3 linked regions of the Nothobranchius furzeri genome follow. The protein of the gene in region 3 interacts with the protein of the main gene of each other region in a pairwise test. Links are inferred from orthologs where the notes say so. Each region holds a gene or a part of one and is shown on either strand. Other genes may lie near its edges. The genes, in order: rrp7a, txlna and tfip11.

Region 1 (3,833 bases), on a different chromosome or scaffold from region 3:
AACCACTTGAGATTAAAGCCATGATTTGTATTTTATTTCTTTAAGAGCTAACACCCGTTTTGTCCATGTTTTCTGTAGTTTTCACGGTGGATAATGGTGTATGAAAGTTCATTAAATTCACCCGTTGGAGGAAACCACTTGTGTCCGAACGTGCTTCAGGAGAATTACATTCACTTTTGATAACCTGTATAGTTGAGTGTCTAATGGTGCTGCACACACGTGTAATCATTAGTGTTGCAGTTTAGTGCTGCTTTCTTTAAATTTAATATTTCAGCCCAAAACCATAATTCTATCTCCATCTTCAGGTTAAAACTCTGCTCCACATTCACGTAGAGCCAGCTGTGGCTGATGGCTACGCTGAAAAACGTGGCTGCACCGCACCGGTCTCCAGGTGAGGCAGCCGCTCCTCCACCTGGCTCAGCCGCTCACTTGCCGAATTGACACACTGGTGCTCGAACCCGCTTGCCTCCTTGAAAAAAAGCCCTCCTCCCCTTTTCATCTAATGATCGGGTTTAACAGGAAGTCCCCCAGAATTCTGCAGAATCTGTGTCTGCTTTTCTCCTGAGCGGTAAGTCTTGTGTGAGCGCGTGCACGCGCTCGTTAAAAACTCGTTTTTAGATTTAGAAACTCCAGCGGCACAAGCGAGGGGGTTGAGGGGGGTGTGGTCTATCACTGCCTCAGTGCCGCTCTCTCGGTCCTCCAGGCGATGCCTCTTTCAGAAGCGTTTTTCTAGGGCTGGGCGACATGGACCAAAACTTATATCTCGATATCTTTTTGCTGAATTGCGTTGTACGATATATAGCTCGATATTTTTCCTCCTGTAAAATTTTTACAAGTTAACTCACTTCAAGCTCTCTTGAGAAAGTATAAACATAAATCAGTAGATTAAATGCATGAAAATGTATTGATTCCTGTCAGACTTTAACCTTAGTGCCTATTTTCTACCAGTCTAAGCTTTAGAAACACTGGTACAGCAGTCTGTTAACACCCGTTGAGCTCGCCTTCAAAATAAAACGTTTAGCCTATAGTTTACTATTCAAACCCTTACAATATGTTTGAGGTCATTTGGCCACTCTGGCTATCCGTAGATGAACTAGACAGCTAATCAAAATTTGATCACAGGTTTTAATGGATTTCCAATTGAAACAAATGGGCGTTAATTTGGGTTGTTAGAGGTTTAATATCTGCATTGGCTGGGTGGATTTTGACAAATGAGGTGTTATTTTGTTAGGGAGCTAAGGTTCAATCTAGTAGACAAATTAAACATGACATTTAATCACTTTTGAAGAAAATGTCCAAGTCCCTAAACTTGGACATTTTTCTGGGTTTTGCAGGTCGGGAATGTGTTTGCAGTCTCCTAAATCAGCAGAACTTTTTACATAAAACCCTGAGGGGTGACTAAAGAAGGGGAGTGACTCACTCTGAACTCCTGTTTTCACTGGACGCTGATCTGTGCTGACCACCAGAGGAACGTGGCGAGGATGGGACTTCGCTGCTGCTACACTCGCAGACTTCTCAAACACAATGTAACCGACTTTAAACCCCTAAGAGAAACAGACAGAGGACTCAGTGCGCTGAGGATTCTGAAGGAAAGATTAAAAATAACAAGAGGAGTGGGATGAAGGAGAACCTGTTTCTCAGCTGGTCTGAAGAACCTGGACAGTTTGGGTTCGGAACCCTCAGAGGAACCAGGATGGTCTCTCAGCTCTACTGAGCTAACGTTGCCAAAGATGGAGAACAGTTCCCTGACGACCTCCTGAAACAGAAACAAGAACTAAGCATGGCTGACAAGAACCCAGTTACCGCTCCCAACGGACCGGGCTCCGGCTCCCACCCTGGAACAGTACGGAGGGACGTTCAGCACAAACAAGGTCCGGTCCAACGGTCTGCCAGAACTCCTCTCAGCTCGGACTTTATGCTCCTTCACGAACACGCTGTGTTGAGCTGGACTGTCGGGGCTGAACTGGAGGGAAAGAACTGAAAACAGATCGAACACGTGAGCAAATGGTTCCTACCTAAACGAGCCGGTAAATATGGGACTTATATAACAGATACAGATGATAAATACCAGTAAAACCACCAGGAATGACACATGCCGTGTTACGGACATGTTTTTTCCCGGACGCCGCCATTTTGGTACGACCTTTGTCTGAACCGGAAGTGATACCGTCTGTGATTTATTATATTTTATTGTTGACATTGTTTATTTGAATTTGTTTTCATGCTATCCTAGAAAAAATACAAGCGCATTCATGTGTAATGAAGATTCTCTAAATACTTTTATTGTGAAACAACAGTCATCGCCACAGCCGCCATCTTTGATGGGTCGCCCCCAAAGTATTCTACTGAGAAAGGTACTTACCCAACTAAAAAAAAATTTCATTATGCTTTTTCCACAAAAATGGCACGTGGTGTAGGTCCCTTAATAAAAATATAATTAAAAAAATACAAAAATTTAAGTACATTTAAAAAAAGTCTCACTAGGTGGGCAATCCCATGTGTTTTCTGTAATGTGTGTTTTTTTTTTGTGTGCCTCTTTCTACAGTCTCTGGTTTGCACCTTGCCACCATAGGTTGCACAAAAATGGACATAGTTGGGTTTGGAGAGTGGAGAACCCACCCAATATGGCGGAGACGCTGCAAGTCTTCTTCCTTTCCGGTCGGCTCATGGGTCCCCAGAAGAACGTAAAAATTAAAAGTCAAAGACGCTAAAATTGCTATTTTCTAATACCGCTTGTTATGTGCCATGGATTTCACATATGATGTCCGTGAATTTTAAAGACACATTTTGATGCAAAGCAAGGTCTTATTTTCGAACGTGGGGTGGGGGGTGGGTTATTCATTATTTTAGGTTTTTTGTGAAAATAAGTCCAGAACTACAAATGCGCATCACCACAAGTGACGTCACCGAACGAGACACAATGAAAACCAGAAGAAAAATGGCTGTAGGTTCAGCAAACTCTAAATTCTTCCTTCAGGAGGAAAGACCATCTGGCCATGCACGTGGTAAGTAGCAGCTAAGCTAGGGAAGAGGAGATTATGTGGTGATGTCATATATGCGACATAACGACGTCCGCTTTGTGGACGTGCTAATTACGAACTTTTACAAGGTGATAAATCTCAAAGTACATGACTGGCGTGGTCGAAACACCCATCATTACTTTTCATTTAAATAGAAGTAACATATGTGAGATCCAGGGCGTAAGGCAAAGCAGATTAGAAAATAGCTCTTTTAGCCCCATTCAGGAACCCATGAACAGACCGGATGGGGAGAAGACAGAGGCTTTAAGCTTTCTGACAGTGGTGTTTCACATGATCTCAGATCAGTAAAGGGCATTCATAAGCAATGACTGTTGTTTAAAACCTTGTTTATAAATCAGGTCTGTGATAATAAGGCATCTGTTTGCAGAAATAACCAAACAAACCCTGGGGTTGGATGTTTATTAACTTTCTCCCTGTGATCCTCCACAGAAACTCACTTGTATGGATGATAAAACTGGGTGTTCCGTAAACAACGGAAATGACGCTGCTGCTGCGCATACCACGTGACTTTTACCCCCTCCAGTTTTTCTTGGGTCTTGATCTGGAATGGTCTTTGATGATGTAATCAGCCTGACATCACCAGAAGGGTCTTAACAGGTGCATTGAACAGATCAAGTCATTTGAAGTTGGACTTTAACCCTTGGAGGTTCCTTAAAAAGAGCTACTACACTGGGGACCCTCGCAAAAAAATGCATTTTGGCTAAAGGTTTAATAAAATTATATATTATTTCAAATGTCACATTTTTACCCAAATCCCATCTATAGCTTCAGTCCCCTCCAAACTTTGTGTGT
Region 2 (2,827 bases), on a different chromosome or scaffold from region 3:
AAACTACAACAGGGAGACATCTTTGGTTTATATGAAAAGTAAACAGTACAGTGAATACATCCTATGGTAGACTGAAAAACATTTGCATTTCTGTTTCGGATGGCATTGCTTTGTCGAAACTACATATGTAGTGCACAGGGGAAACAGGCGTGTGTTTGGAGGAAACCAAATCAAATTAGACTTCTCCTCTCAGTTTTCTCACTTGGCTCAGATCAATGCACATTTCAAAAGCACCCAATGTAAAAGTATCAACCCCTTGGAAGAAAAAGGCCTTAAACTGTGAGATATGTCGTCCCCGACACATTTATGCAGAACAGTGGATATGATGAGATTACATTCTCAGCTAAGTGCTCGTGGGTCGAGGCCACAGAATAAAACCAAGATGCAAGCGTTGCATAGAGGAACTTTGACATTCTTTAGAATAAACCTGACCAGAAGCCTTTGCCGTTCCCAGGACCATCACAGATATAAACAGGTACATCCCACACACACACGGAACAAAGATGGAGTTAAATGAGATAAAAGTGCTAATACTAATAACTAAACTGGTAATGTGCAACATAACCCAGGAGAGGTAAGGATGACAAATTTGGAGTAAAATGAATGAAAATGATCAGCTTAAATGAAAATATCCTTTATTTTAACCCCCGATATCAGTGACTGTATGATTTCAACAATAAATACAGACTCACATTTAAACACTACACAAATGAATAAGAGTTCAAACGTTTTAGTTCTAAAACGTTCTTTAATAATCCAGGATTTACTCTGCCAAAAAAAATCATAATAAAAAAAGGATAAAAGGCTGGACTGAAAAGCTTCCCTCAACAGTCCCACACAGCTCTTACTTAAAGGAAGGAATGGTAGAGATGGAAGAAAACAACACTTAAGACACACACACACACACACACACACCTGTGGTAAACCTGCTTAGGTGGTGTCCTCCCACACAGCTCAGTAAAGCCTTCAGCAACAACTCTAGTTATTGTAATAAAATGATCTGAACTAGCTTAGTTTCAGCTGGAGAGGATGGGGTGAAGGAAGCCCGTCTGCAGATGACGCTGGGAGGACACACGTTAACCCTTCTGTTGGACTCATCTGGTGTAAATCTGATTCCAGCTCAGCGTTGAACATCAGCTGCTCCAGCGGCCTGTAGGCTGGTGGTTGGACGTTGAAAGGGAGGAGGAGACGAAGCAGTCCTGCTTTATTCCTGTGCAGGGACAAGAACAGGGACAGGTGGGGAGTTTGCCTCTTCTGGGAGTGCAACTGTGTCCAGCTGTGGCTCACAGTGGCAAGGTGGGGAGTCAGAGGAGCTGTCTGGTACAGGACAGGTGCTGGCCTCCAGCGGACAGTCCGTGGGAGGCGGGGAGGGGGAGTCAGTCCCTGGGTCAGAGGTGTGGGGTCCTGCGGCCCCACCGAGGTTCTGGACCTTCTTCTTTAGCTCGTTTCGCTCCACCTTAAGTGCCCGCCTCAGCTTCTCGAGCCGCTGGACTTTACCCTGCAACGCGTCGAAGTCCCGATCTCGCACAGATTTCTGGGAATAGAAACAGAAGCTTGGGACTCAATCACACGTGAAACAACAGTTCGGAAGGCGCTAGCGTCAGAACGTCGTGATGCGTGGTCAACAGCTGTGGCTTTTTAAATAACCAGCTACTAAAGTCTCAAAGTTTTCCAACAAAGTGGAACTGAATCTAAACAGCTGGGAACAGCAGTGGGTGATCATGCAGTGACCCCTGACCTATTGTTGCCATGTCAACCAAATGGTTAAGGAAAGGGTGAAGATGGCAAAAGCCTTCACGGAGTCTACAGTCGTGGTCAGATCCTTGTTTAACGCACATCATTGGCATGAAGAGAAGCGCAGCTGTCTGAGGTGTGATCTTATCCCTACTTACTAAAGAAAGAACCCCACAAGTTCTTGTTCCGACGGAAACATTTAGCTTAAATGAAAACCACAACAGTGGGCACCGCAGGGAAGCAAAGGCAAGGCTTCTGTTGAACATTTAACCGTGTTTATTACGGGCCGTTTATACGTCTCTACCAAACTACAAATACAAAGTTAAACAAAAAGAAAAATATAAAATTATCTTCCAGCAAACACACGTGCTGCGCGTGTCCATAAAAAAAATCTGTTTCGGTCTTCTACTGGGTTCGCAAATCAGTCCGTGTGTCATGACGTCACACGCCCAACCCTGTCGGCAAAGTGGCCCGACCTTACTCTGAACACTCTAGATCTGTGAGAACCAAATCCAAACTCCAGGAGCTGCTTTACCTCCTCAGCCATCTCCAGCAGCGCCTTGTTGCTGCTCTCCCACCTCGAGCGATACATCGTCGTCTCCTTCTCCAGCTTCTTAATCTTTTTAGTCATCTGTGAACCCAAAGCAAGCACGGCTCCTGTTTGAGCAGGTAGACCCAACAGAATTATCCACGTTCTCCTCACAACCACCCACCTTCTCCATCTCCTGTTTGAAGGTGGTGAAGACCTCGTTACTCTTAGACAGCGTGGTCTGGAACTCCTCAAACCTCTCGGTGTACAGAGACAGCTGGGAGGTAAAACAGCAGAAGTGAGACGACAGCTGCTTTGCAGAGACTCTGAAGAGTGAGCTTAAGAGAGACCTGCTGTTTGAGGTGGACCTCCTGCTGCTTCATTAGCTCACACATCCTCTGAGACTCCACAGCTTCCTTCAGAAGCTAAAGAGTTACAACAAACTGGATGTTAGTCTTATGCGAAACTACCAGAGACATCAGACGCAGAACCATACAAACAGAAACTCACAAAGTCTTTCTCTCTGTCGTGGCGCTCCTCCGACTCCTTCAGCAGCTCCTGCGC
Region 3 (3,600 bases):
AAGTTGGTAGCGAGCGGCTACACATGAAGAAAAAGACCCAAGACCATAACAAACACACATCAGTGTTTCTTCTGGGGCTTTTTCCAGCTGATTTTCAGTGTCACTGTCCCCTGGAGGTTTTAGGGATGCTGCTGCTGCCTGGAAATTCTCTGAAGAGAAGATGATCCACTAAATAACTAAGCTTAACTCAACCTACATATCTACAACAAACTCACCATTCCAGTCTTTCCAAAAATCTTCGTACTTTAGTTCAAACCTAAGAAGGAAAGATATAAGCAAACCAATAACTTATGGGAAGATGTATGATTTCACCTATTATGCAAGATAAATATTGTTACTCATATATATATATATATATATATATATATATATATATATATATATATATATATGTATATATATATATATATATATATATATATATATATATATATATATATACATACATACATACATACATACATGTGTGTGTGCGTAACTTCTTACATGTTGTCTCTGATTCTTCTGATGAGTTTTCCAACATCCAGTTGCTCCTGATGGCATGATGGTGAGTTTAGAGGAACTTGATGAGATTTAAATTGCCTACATACACCTTTTCGACGCCGAGCTACCTGCCATTCATCGGATATGTACGACATTTGTGTGAATTGCCAGATGTAATTTACATAAGTACATACATTTCCAAACGTAAGTATCATAAAAACATGGAACTCAAAACCAAATTTAGCATTTTGAGAGCTGAAAGCTAAAAATGGAAACGCAGATGACCTATTCAAGTGCAACACATTGTTCTGTTTCCGGTGTGATTTCCGTCTAGTTAAAAGTCACGTAAATTCAACAGATTTGCTGTTGTTCGATTGTTTTTATTTTTAAAAAAAATATTGACCGCTTTATAAAAATGTATGTGTTGAATGGTTGGTTTTAATTAAGCTGCTTTTAAAATATTAATGAAATTATTTGTAGTGTACATTAATTGAAGTGACACGGCTAAACCGGAAGAACTTGCTTTTGACAAAAATATATCATTCGTCAACAGTTCGTGTCTCTGCAGTTCGTCTTATTACCACATAAGATATGTGTTTTTGATCTCAGACCAAGGTTGTAATTAATATTTTAGTAAGTTAACTTAAACGAAATCGTCGTTTTTTATCACTACTAACATGTTGTGTGTATTTACATTAATGCTACAGAACGTGCGTTATTGCTAGTAATTAGCCTTCGCTCCGTTTTCTTCTAAGCAGATTTGTATAGTTTTATAATCGATGTTTCACGTTTAGTCTTATTTGTGTATTCATCGTTATTGATTGTAAACCTTTTTGTCATTATTAATTTATCGTTAGTTAAACCACAAACGTTGACTTCATACCTGACTTAGTTATCGCATTTTATTTCCCTCTTCTTTGCCTTTAATAAACTAGATATGCATCTTTTTCCTGATTTTGAAGTCACAATGTTTCTTTCCTGGAAAATAAATGCACGTGTAATTTTAGGATTCGGTCACATTTCATTAAGATCTATATTGTTTATAACTTGCAGAGATGTCAATGTCCCACCTTTACGGGCGGAGGGAGGAGGAAGAGGAAGGTGTGGAGGTGGAGAGTTTTGAGATTACTGACTGGGATTTAGCCAATGAGTTCAACCCAGACCGTCGCAAATTCAGGCAGAGCAAGGAGCAGGCCACATATGGCATCTGGGCCGAGAAGGATTCTGATGAAGATGAAAGGCCCAGCTTTGGTGGCAAGAAGTATAAATGGCTTGCTTTTGACACAAATTCCAATTCTGAAACAATTTCTAACCAAATGTTCTAATAAAATATTTATGATTTCTTTTTAGATCCAAAGACTACACTGTACCTGTGAGCTTTGTGAGTGGTGGTTTGCGTAAGAGTGCTGCTGAAGAGAAAGAGCGGGAAAAAGAAGGCAGCTCTGACGACTCTGATGATGATACTTCTGCAAAACTCCCCCCTTCACGCGTGACTGCACCCAAAAAACTCCAGATGGTAATTTTTAAATGTGCGCACATTGTGATGTCCATTGTTTGTAGAAGAAAATAGTGAAAATAATGATGTTGGGAAAAAATGTTTTTCTAGGGTAATTTCTGTGGAAATCAGTCTAAGAGGTTTGCAGGTGGAATACAGTCTGGACAAGGAATTGGTAACTGGGAGAAACACACCAAAGGAATTGGACAGAAACTTCTGCAGAAGATGGGTTACCAGCCAGGGAAAGGCTTGGGGAAGAATGCTCAAGGTGTGTTTAGTTGACTTAGATTGTTCTTTTAAAAATGTTGTAAAATGTTTTGTTTTTTACATGGATGTGGTGGAATTGAAACACTTGTAATGTACTTTCTCTCTGTAGGTATCATAAACCCCATTGAGGCAAAGATCCGTAAGGGAAAAGGAGCGGTTGGTGCTTATGGCAATGAAAGAACCCAGCAGAGTCTTCAGGACTTTCCTGTAGTTGACTCAGAGGAAGAAGAGGAGAAGGTAAAGTACTGAGAAAAAAAATTGTCTTTACAATGTTGTTTTTATTTTTGTGTTTGATTTTATTGATCAAATGAGTCTATAGAGTCATTGTGGTAATTTTCTATATCTTTATATAGGAATTTCAGAAGGAACTTGGCCAGTGGCGTAAGGATCCAGCTGGGCCTGCAGGAAAAAAGAAGCCCAAGTACTCTTACAGAACAGCAGATGAGTTGAAGGCTAAAGGTAAAATAGTGAGTCGGAGCACATCTGCAACTGCAGGAGAGCTGGCACAGGTCAAGGTATGTTTATGTTTCACTTGTGTGCTGTTTGTTTTTTATGTTGGCATGGCTGCATAGGTGCAAAATTGAGGATTCAGTGTTTTATTAAGCATCAGTAATTTAAGTACATTTTGGCTACATTCATAGTACTTATTTATCCTGACATTTCCCTTGGTCTAGGTAATAGATATGACTGGAAGAGAGCAGAAGGTATACTACAGTTATAGTCAGATGTCTCACAAACACAGTGTTCCCGATGAAGCTCCACCAAGCTTGGCTTCACAGGATCAAAAGGTATCTGGCTTTGCTCTCCCCGAACTTGAGCATAATCTGCAGCTTCTGATAGACCTGACAGAACAAAACATATTACAGGTAAGAGGAAACCAAGAATTATTTACAACATATTTAGCTACAAGAATAGGATATTAATAAGTCAGCAACCTGAGAAAAATGTGAAGAACTTGTAATCTCTACTAAAGCGTTCTTTCTTTTTTTTGTGCATCTTTTGTAGTCTGCCAGACGTTTGCAGCATGAAAAAGACGTGGTTGTTTCTCTGAGCCATGAGTCAAAAGCTTTGCAGAGCAGACTGGAGTCAGAGCAAGAATCCATCCGAAGAATGGAAGCTGTCTTAGCATTAGTGGAGCGTTTTCCTTCTGAAGAGACGGCACCGGGAGAGGGCCCGACCCTACAGGTTTGTGTTACAAACACTGACTGGAGCCGGTCTGCAAGCTGTTCAAATTAAGGAGTTCCAGCTTTATATTTCATAATTGTGAAGCTGATTTGTAGTGCTTGTCTCTTCAGGAGTGTGCCCAGATCTTTGAGACATTACAAACCGATTATTATGAGGAATACAAGATGATG

What was found.
Region 1: the proteins of tfip11 (region 3) and rrp7a interact in binary tests that used the Homo sapiens proteins (3 or more experiments, as listed by UniProt). The link is inferred for Nothobranchius furzeri from reciprocal best matches to the Homo sapiens genes TFIP11 and RRP7A.
Region 2: the proteins of tfip11 (region 3) and txlna interact in binary tests that used the Homo sapiens proteins (3 or more experiments, as listed by UniProt). The two-hybrid records come from large-scale screens. The link is inferred for Nothobranchius furzeri from reciprocal best matches to the Homo sapiens genes TFIP11 and TXLNA.

What each region holds. Positions count from the first base shown.
Region 1 is NC_091752.1:66,978,837-66,982,669, forward strand, and holds the start of rrp7a (ribosomal RNA-processing protein 7 homolog A), read right to left. Parts: upstream 2,631-3,833; 5' UTR 2,133-2,630; coding exon 2,069-2,132; intron 1,978-2,068; coding exon 1,835-1,977; intron 1,757-1,834; coding exon 1,631-1,756; intron 1,545-1,630; coding exon 1,421-1,544; intron 1-1,420. UniProt on the Homo sapiens protein: Nucleolar protein that is involved in ribosomal RNA (rRNA) processing. Also plays a role in primary cilia resorption, and cell cycle progression in neurogenesis and neocortex development.
Region 2 is NC_091751.1:3,237,629-3,240,455, reverse strand, and holds the end of txlna (alpha-taxilin), read right to left. Parts: coding exon 2,774-2,827; intron 2,689-2,773; coding exon 2,614-2,688; intron 2,541-2,613; coding exon 2,448-2,540; intron 2,366-2,447; coding exon 2,270-2,365; intron 1,535-2,269; coding exon 1,205-1,534; 3' UTR 619-1,204; downstream 1-618. UniProt on the Homo sapiens protein: May be involved in intracellular vesicle traffic and potentially in calcium-dependent exocytosis in neuroendocrine cells.
Region 3 is NC_091757.1:45,000,468-45,004,067, reverse strand, and holds the start of tfip11 (tuftelin-interacting protein 11), read left to right. Parts: upstream 1-988; 5' UTR 989-1,098; exon of another isoform or gene 1,099-1,116; intron 1,117-1,536; 5' UTR 1,537-1,538; coding exon 1,539-1,744; intron 1,745-1,833; coding exon 1,834-1,999; intron 2,000-2,089; coding exon 2,090-2,246; intron 2,247-2,354; coding exon 2,355-2,482; intron 2,483-2,598; coding exon 2,599-2,760; intron 2,761-2,919; coding exon 2,920-3,111; intron 3,112-3,250; coding exon 3,251-3,430; intron 3,431-3,540; coding exon 3,541-3,600. Other genes in the region: srrd (SRR1-like protein), read right to left, coding at 1-149, 216-256, 487-698. UniProt on the Homo sapiens protein: Involved in pre-mRNA splicing, specifically in spliceosome disassembly during late-stage splicing events. Intron turnover seems to proceed through reactions in two lariat-intron associated complexes termed Intron Large (IL) and Intron Small (IS).